Neurospora crassa OR74A: one gene and its partner. The main gene of each other region encodes a partner of the protein of the gene in region 2 in a complex. Links are inferred from orthologs where the notes say so. Each region holds a gene or a part of one and is shown on either strand. Other genes may lie near its edges. The genes, in order: mus-8 and NCU07544.

Region 1 (3,799 bases), on a different chromosome or scaffold from region 2:
CGCCCCCTTTCCTGCTGTTCGAGTTGCCTATGGCCATTTCTTTGCTCTTTTGGGTAACTTGCAATCAATTTTCAAGATACCTCTCTACGTTGTCAATTCGAGCTTTCAAGAGGCTACCGCTCGCTGTAGGTAGAGGAGCCTAGCCAAGTTCAGCTACCCACAATATATAAACAACCTCACCCCTCATGCAGATCATACGCAAAGCGTCAGTCCTACAACATAAAATCGTACCTATGCAAGTTATGAGAAGTCTTCCAAAAGAGCCATGTAGAGCTGGGTAAGTCGGACCAGGACGTACCATACAGACTTGAGAACCTTGTTTCCAGATTGCAGGGTTAAAAGTGTTCGGAAGCCACGTACACTAATGCTCTCTGACGGCCGCCAAAAGCATCTGACAGCCCTTTAACCCTGCGTTTTCTGGGCATTTACGATAGAGGTAGTCAGCCTGTCTTTCACTCTCACAGGGACCCTTGCATCCAAGGTATGCCTGTTAACGTGAGCGTGTATTAAACAACGCCGCAGTTCGAAATGTGCACGCTAGACTTGACTCTCAGCCTTAGGTATAGGTGATATAAATCATGTGGATGTAAGGCACCAAGCGGGGTCATGTACACTTTCGTCAAAGAAACAGAGGAAAGCTGAGAAATGCAAGACTCTCTGGAAACTCGTACATCTAAGCCGGCCGACATAACATGGTGAGCTTTTTGCAATGAAAGACACTATGCCATCTCTTCATCTCTAAGACAAAAGAAAAGAACGCTATCTAGGGCTTTTTGGGGTGAGTTGAGGTATCCAGGGACTGCCCTCGCCAGATGTGCTTGTGTTGGTATGATACGAGCGCCTAAACTCCAAACCCGACAATCGCCCTAAAGAGTGAGAAAAACCAAGCACTCCCGCTCTCTCCATTGCAGACAAGCAGGCTGACTCTCAGCCATCAATAGGCGAGAGATGCGGATATTTGAAATACAACAAAAACGCCCCGAAAGAACGACGCCTCCCAAATGCAATGTAATATCACGACATCCGTTCCACCCTCACGCCCTAAAAGGCCAAACCGCCGGGTATCCTCGAATGTGGATCATCTCGCAACTCGTCGTCGGTCGACAACTGACTGTTGATATAGCCAAGAGATCTGTATCGAACAGCCCAGTGAGCAATATCAACACCGACTTGCAGCACCCAGATCAATCATTGGCTTTTTGCCATTGAGGGCCCCGTGGTGATAAATGTCGTCACTATTCAATCCTCCCAGCTCTTCTCAACAGTTTCCCGGACCCTCTTGTGGTATTCTTTGCGGTTGTCCTTGTATAGATTGGAGGCTTCGACGTTTGCAGGCGATCCTGTGTTCGGGTCATTGAGCAAACTAGTCAAGACAGTTTTGTCAGCATAATAACACAACGCAAAATGAACGTCAACAAGATATTATGCAGTCGTACCTCTGAATACTGGTAAGAACAGCCGCGACGTCGTACGTAGGACTCCAGCGGTTCTGAAGGATATCGAGACAAAGTTCGCCAGTGGCGTAAACATTGGGGTGGAACATCTCGCTGATGAACTTGACCGAAGGAGGCTTATTGGGATACTGCTCCTCAAAGTGCATCACCAGGCGGAAGGTGCCATCTTCGAAGGGCGTATCGGCGGGTCCGATGATCACGGCGTTCCTATATGGAGACTCATGTCAGTCATTGCCATGCCGGGGGTCGACCGCCCATAACGACACCGCAGCAAAGATCGTTCTCCTTACCATGTCATAACATTATCGGGTACGGGAGAGGCGGAAACACCAGCGGGAGGATCGGTTTGCATGCGCTGTCGAGGAACATGGTGAGTATATTGTGCTCATGGCGGCCAAGTCATCAAGCGGTGTGAACCCAACGGGGTGGCTCATGATGTCTCGCACCTTGAAGTCTCGCATGAGCCGGCGGCGGGCAGCGGTTGACATTTTGGCTTTGGTGATGGATGATGAAGTCGGCCCAGGCGTATGGAGAGAAAGCTACAAGGTTGATGGAGTACGTAGGATCGATGCGATACTTTGTTCGAAGTCGAGATGGGTTTCGTGGTTGGAATAGCGAAGAGACAATCAAACGAACTGATTTGAAGGGGCGGAGATGAATGACGGAAACCAGCAGAGCCAACAAGTGAACGCGCATTAACGACCGCTATCTTATCATACCCAACTGATTGCCCGGAGGGGGGCGTCACAAAGAAGCTAGGAGAACGCGCGCCGAGGGCAGGGGCAATGAACAGTGACTGCCCCGGTTGACAATTGCCGCCGGATTGTTAATAGCACTTTTCTGATTCTCGGCCAATTACACTTGGGTATGAAGCGACTGGTGGCTCGTGCGCGAGGTGACTGCCAGCTGATGGAATGGGATCACACAGTCACACACCTTCTCTCACGCCACCGCCGAATGGTTGTCCAGCCAAACATCTAACTAATCGAACTGACAAATGAATCCCAAGAAAACATCAGAAATTGTAGCATGACAGCCAATTGTTCGGGTTGAATCAGTGATTTGATCAAGCTGTCTCCTGTGGCATCCCCCGGCAGCTGCCCGAAAACACTTCAACGCCGCAATAGGATCGTTGCTTGGAACCAACGCAACATCTCAAACATATCGCGTTGGGAAGCTCGGCTTTTGTTCCCGCGTGTAAAGTGGTTCGCTTCTGCCCAACATCCAAAGACGCGCGCGGGATGGCAATTGCAGGGACAACCGCGACTGGGATAGATTGTTAAGTGATGCGAAACGACTCTTGAGCGTGCAGTGCCCTGGCCTTTTGATCCCTGATTTTATGCGGGCAGTATCCGGTACAGCTAGGTATGATGCCGGCGCTGGGCAACAGGAGGCTGCGGAAAGAGTGAATGAACTGCTTGGAGAGCATCCACCCCCGAATCGATCCGTTGACCGTTTCCCCTCCGCTACGGCTTCAACTCTGGCTCCATCTGATGTTTCTCCATCCGCCCGTGGGTACGGCACTCATGGGCTCATGACCCAAGCAGGGCATTCTTCAGTTGTTGTGGATGAGGAGCTTCCCCTGTCGGTCAGCGGCAGGCTCCACGGGAAACCCCGGATACCAAGCTTCTGTGTCCCTTGCGCCCGTTGGGGTCCCCGCGGAGGAACCACGGTGGCGGCCACTGTTTGGCGCTCAATTGGCGGGGTGAAGCATCGCTTTGGTGTGAATCCTCTCCACACATGTACCGTCACAAGCCGACCGGTGCCATCATGGCATCTGACAAGTTCCGAGGAAAAGAAAGCGGGAAGGAGAGGAAGAGACCACCTAGCTATCGCCTCCCCAACTGGTAGTTTTATTAATCATTTTTAAACAATAGAAGAAAGTCTTCCCTGTGATTCTGTCCCTACTCCCAATTATTTCCTGCTCCTGTTTTTGTGTTGCCTCTCCTGTTGTGCTGTTGTTCATTCCCCGTTCGGCCATCTTCCTTTCTTCCTTCTCGCCAGATTCCCCTCCGACATCTGCGCTGTGCAGTACCGCCCCTACGTCCTGTAACTCATCGTCACCAGCTTCCGACATCAGAATGGTTCTTAGCCACGCCAGGACAGCCGCTGGCTCGGCTTCGCGCACTTCCCGTGTCGCTTGCGCTCGTCTTTTTTCCACCCAGTCTGCTCTCCGCCAGCAGATTCAGGATGCCTACATTCTCAGTGGTGTGAGGACACCAACGGCCAAGGTAAAGCGCTCCGTAAAATCAGCCATTTCCACAACACAGCGCTTGTGCTAACGTCTGCCAGTTCAATGGCTCTTACACCACCGTTCCTGCTCCCAAGCTCGGTGCCGTTGCCAT
Region 2 (4,434 bases):
GACTCTGCTCGACTCTCAGCAGAGCTCTCGGACTGGGTAACCGGCTGTGTAGTATCTGTGCTGGAACGCGTTGAAGCTGCCTCTGTAGACGAGGTTCCACTGGGGGTGGCCGAGGACGTGGTACTTGAAGGATCGGCAGTAGGTGTCGGGCGTGTAGCTCTGGATGGAGATTGTGCTATGATTTCTGATGTCGCCACGGAGCTTCTGCCTCTGGGCCTTGTGATTTCGATGATGGTCGGAGTAATGACCGCCGCCGGTGTACCCCTGGCTTTGGAAGGTGTCTGTCTTGGTGCCGCTGCTTTCGGATTCTCGGTCGCGGTCGTCGCATTCGAACTCTTTTCGCTTGTCGGTTTCTCGGCTGGCTTCTCAACTGGTTTCTCTACTGGCTTTTCCACGGGGGTACTCGCCGTTGCGGTAGGGGCTGGAGTTGGCGCCGGAGCTAGAACAGAAGCTGTAGCTGAGATCGTGGCAGGTTGTGCTTGCTTGTCCGTTGGAGCGGCATCTCTGGAAACCGGTTTGGCAACACTCGAAGACTCCTTCTCGGGGACCGTATCGCTTGCGAGAGTTGCAGGGGGTGTAGGCTGAGCTGAAGCTGAAGCCGGCGACACCTGACGGGTCGAGGGACCGGACTCGGCTGTGGGAGTGGCGGCAGCTGTGGTAGGTTGTGAGGTTGTCGACTCGGTCGGGGCGGGAGTTGAATCGGTGGATTTTGCTGAAGGAGGCGCGTTGCGACGAGCAACCACCTTGGGTTTGACCTTGGGGCCGAAGCCCGGTTTCTTGAGCATCTGGAGAATAGTCGGCGACTACCGGGAATCAACTACAGAGAAGGGGAGGCGTCGATGTTTTGGTGAGCATGGCCCACACAAGGCTGCCGACGATAAACAAAGACTATGTATGGTAGGGTTATGATGAGCCTCAAGCGATGCGACTTTGTTCTGGCGGGTATCGAATTGGTTTGGTGTGTGTCCAGAAAACCGTGAGGTTTGAAGATCGAGGATAGCGCGCGGCCAAGGGAGTCAATTGCTGCACATAGCGACTGAAAGACAGACGCGCGAGAGGTTACCCGCCTAATTGATTGTTGACTGATAAAGTGGTGATGGGAAAAAAGATGGGCGGGGTGGGTGGGTGGTCCAGTCCCGGCCGGTGGTGGTGGTGCACTGGGCCACTGGCTCCGGGTAGTCTGGTACCAGTTCACATCGGCCAGTGGCATGGGAGGAATCTACGCAGTACTTGTAGTGTAAAGTGCGATAAAGGCACCGCTGGCCAACCAAAAGCTGAAAGAGGCTTAGCGTGACGCATCCAAAGGGCGAGAGAGTGGATTCTGTCGGTCTGGCGGGCGGGTTCGCCGCCAGTCCATCTCCAGCTTTGCGCTCCCGTTCAAAGACCCACTTTTTGTGTCCAGCAGCGGCCGATGAGCGAAGGAACGAAGGTGTTGAGAATGTGGAAAGGTTGCAGTTGCAGACTGACAGACTTGATTCCTCCTCCAGGCCATTGCTCCCGCCCTTCCTCGTCACAGACAAACAGATGGAAGACGCGGGACTAACCAGAGAACAGTAATTCATCGACCCATTGTATTCAATTACCCTACTTACCTAACCTCGACACCTCGGCGGCCTGTCCGTTGCGGCTTGCTGCGCTGGTCCCTCTCAACTTAAGTTCTCTACTCTAAGTACCTATCTAGGCTGGGTCAAACTGGAGCCCGTCCGGCTCGGCTCTCCAGTCACGTTCTTCGACCTGCCTCAGGTGCTGCTCCGTCCTTTCCACACTTTCCATCCTCCGACACTTTGTTCAAGACTGGAACCCGCACGCTCCTTTTTGGCAGCGAGCCGTGACTGTCTTTTTTCCACCAAGTCTGCGCACCGGGTCTGTCCGTCCAACTTCACCACCCACCCACCCACCCACCCAGCTCACCCACAAACCCATCACATCGTCGTCGCCGACACGCCCCTCCGCATCCGTTGACGCCCTCATCGACGACGGAGAACGAGTCATCCACACCCCGTATGCAGTGGCGGTAAGAGAGGTCAACCATTACAGAGACCACCACGTCTTTCATCGCACACACGCACGCACGCACGCACGCACGCACGCACGCCCGGCTGGCTGCTCTCGCCTTCCGTTCTTGCTCTCCATTGCCGACCGCGCTTTTCCTTTCAACCTCTTTTCTTCTGCCTGCTGCTGCTTGGTTTCTGGCCTTGGTCCTTCGCTCGCGCTTTCGCCCTCCGCCGCCCGCGCCGACAACTGAGTTCCCGGTCCGCTCCCTCCAGCGCCTCACCTCATGCCGGTTGCCACCTCTCCCTCCGCTGTGCCTCGTCCTACCACCGTCAAGATGGAGGACAGGAAGAGACCCGCCGCCAACGCGGACGACGTTGCCCCTCCTAGCAAGCGACAGGCTGTCAACGGCACCAGCAAGTCCAAGGACGACTCCAACGATTCAAGGGAAGAGGCTTGGATTGAGGTAAGTTCCACAAATTGTCGGCTACCGCTTCATACCCACCCACCCCCTCCTTTCTCGCCCTTCCCCGTATCACCACATCCAAGCCTAGCCCCTCACATCCTCCACGCCGTCCGGCGTGTCCTATCCTCTCAGCCCCTCGACGCCGCTTGCCATCCACCGCAGTCGCGTCCGCTTTAGATAGCATCTTACGTGTCGGCCAACCTCCTGATGACCCTCACCGCGATGTTTTTGTTGGGGTACTCTCCTCGACCCTTGCTAATGCGCGGCTTGCTGGCAACAGCACGCCCGGCTCCCAGGATTCCCTCTTCATCATGCAATGCCTTGACCCTGCCTACTCCCAAATACCACGCTCCTTGACTCGCCCACGGTGTACATGAATCTCCTTTCACGGGCTTGGAGGCGACGGCTTGGCTGACTGGTTACAATGCGCAGGAATATCAAAAAGGTGCCATTTACCGGCAGATGCTCGAGTACAAGCGGTCAAAGGTCGACCTAGAACACCGTCTACAAGAAGCCGAGAAAAGCGCGGCTTTTCACGATGATCATTTGCGGGTTATCAAGTACTGGCTATCGCAGGTATGTCTCGGCCCCACTCATATCTCCACACGACAAAGCGCGCTGACAACCCCCCAGTTGACTCAAGAGCTAGAGTTGATTGTCGAAGGGTCCCTCAAATCCATAGCCCTCAAGCCCGTAGACTCCAATTGGGTATCGAGCCTCGCCTTTAAGGACAGCAAGGAATTCCGCCAACATTTGGACGACATCAAGAAACCCGTCATTCTCAAGGTCGAGTCGCTACTCAACAAGCTCGCCAGTTCCCGGGGCGAGGTCAAGCCCGATGTGGCGCAATTGGAAGCACAGGTGAAGTCTTTGCTGGCAAATCAAAAGGAACTAGCAGTGAAAATCGACAGACTCCAGGCCGAAAATGCGACGCTCTCCGAACAATATGATACCGCGACGCTCAAAGTGATCAAGGCGGAACGGAAGCTCGATAGGGTTAGAAGTGCCCAAGTCCAAAAATTGGAACAGCAGGCACTGGCCAACTCGACAACGCGACAAACCACAAATGACGAAAATGGCACAAGTTCAATTGCGGAAAACGGCGACGGCGCCGAGTACAAGACCAAATACAAGGAAGCCATTGCCGTGGCCAACAAGCAAAAAGAACAGATTGAATCTCTTCTTGCCGAAATCAAGACCTTGCAAGAAGAAAATGCCAGTTTCAAGATCAAGAAGGAGGGCATTTCCGAGGAAGATTATGCCCGGACCGACGTATTCAAGCAGTTCAAGGCTCAAAACGAGGATCTCATCAAGCGCATCAACAACCTGGAGGCCGTCAACAAGCAGTTCCGGGAAGACGCCGAGAAGCTGCGGGCCGAACGAACATCGTACCGTGCCACCCTGGAACAAGAAGCCCAGGCTCTCACGTCAGACCTGGAGGACCAGATACAACAAAAGGACCAGGATCTCACTAGGATCCGCTCCGCAAGGGATGAACTTCTTGCTGAACTTGCAATGCGCAAGGCAAGCCAGGAACAGGAAAAGACAGCATCCGCTCACCTGAATGAGCTTGTTGAGGCCATGACAGATCGCGTAACCCAACTAGAATCCGAACTTGAGAGGTTAAGACCAACGGAAGATGTAGCCAAGGCCGCCCCGACGGATGATTTAAGCACTCTCTCGGCTGAAGAGCTCCGTGAGAAGTTTGCCAAGTTGGAGCGGGATTACGAGGCGATCAACAAGGAGCTTCCAGCACTCGAGAAGTCATATAGGAAGGCTATGGGTATCGCCCATAAGAAGGTGATGGATTTCACTGCTCTGGAGGAGCGGGTTGCTATTCTCACAGCGGAAAAGAGCAAAGCAGACCAGAAGTACTTTGCGGCGCGCAAAGACATGGACATTCGGATAGCCGAGATACGGACATTGCGCGGACAGAACAGCAAGAGCTCCGAGATCATTTCTCAGCTTAAGGATGT

What was found.
Region 1: the proteins of NCU07544 (region 2) and mus-8 are in contact, whole or in part, in a crystal structure (PDB 7W75), measured with the Kluyveromyces lactis proteins. The link is inferred for Neurospora crassa OR74A from reciprocal best matches to the Saccharomyces cerevisiae genes BRE1 and RAD6. Residues at the interface, in XP_451665.1 of Kluyveromyces lactis: Ser17, Glu18, Pro19, Leu20, Thr21, Gln22, Val25, Ile26, Phe28, Gln29, Ala32, Leu33, Arg35, Cys36; in XP_452450.1 of Kluyveromyces lactis: Met16, Lys17, Glu18, Ser20, Met39, Ile41, Asp50, Thr52, Ser148, Trp149, Asp152, Met153, Glu154, Met156, Ala157.

What each region holds. Positions count from the first base shown.
Region 1 is NC_026504.1:1,993,874-1,997,672, reverse strand, and holds mus-8 (mus-8), read right to left. Parts: upstream 2,266-3,799; 5' UTR 1,943-2,265; coding exon 1,901-1,942; intron 1,810-1,900; coding exon 1,745-1,809; intron 1,662-1,744; coding exon 1,437-1,661; intron 1,364-1,436; coding exon 1,240-1,363; 3' UTR 551-1,239; downstream 1-550. Other genes in the region: NCU09732 (acetyl-CoA acetyltransferase), read left to right, coding at 3,536-3,685, 3,747-3,799. UniProt on the Saccharomyces cerevisiae protein: E2 ubiquitin-conjugating enzyme that accepts ubiquitin from the ubiquitin-activating enzyme E1 and transfers it to a E3 ubiquitin-protein ligase.
Region 2 is NC_026503.1:4,425,642-4,430,075, reverse strand, and holds the start of NCU07544 (ubiquitin ligase BRE1), read left to right. Parts: upstream 1-1,484; 5' UTR 1,485-2,278; coding exon 2,279-2,458; intron 2,459-2,738; exon of another isoform or gene 2,739-2,827; intron 2,828-2,890; coding exon 2,891-3,034; intron 3,035-3,091; coding exon 3,092-4,434. Other genes in the region: NCU07543 (hypothetical protein), read right to left, coding at 1-785. UniProt on the Saccharomyces cerevisiae protein: E3 ubiquitin-protein ligase that mediates monoubiquitination of histone H2B to form H2BK123ub1 in association with the E2 enzyme RAD6/UBC2.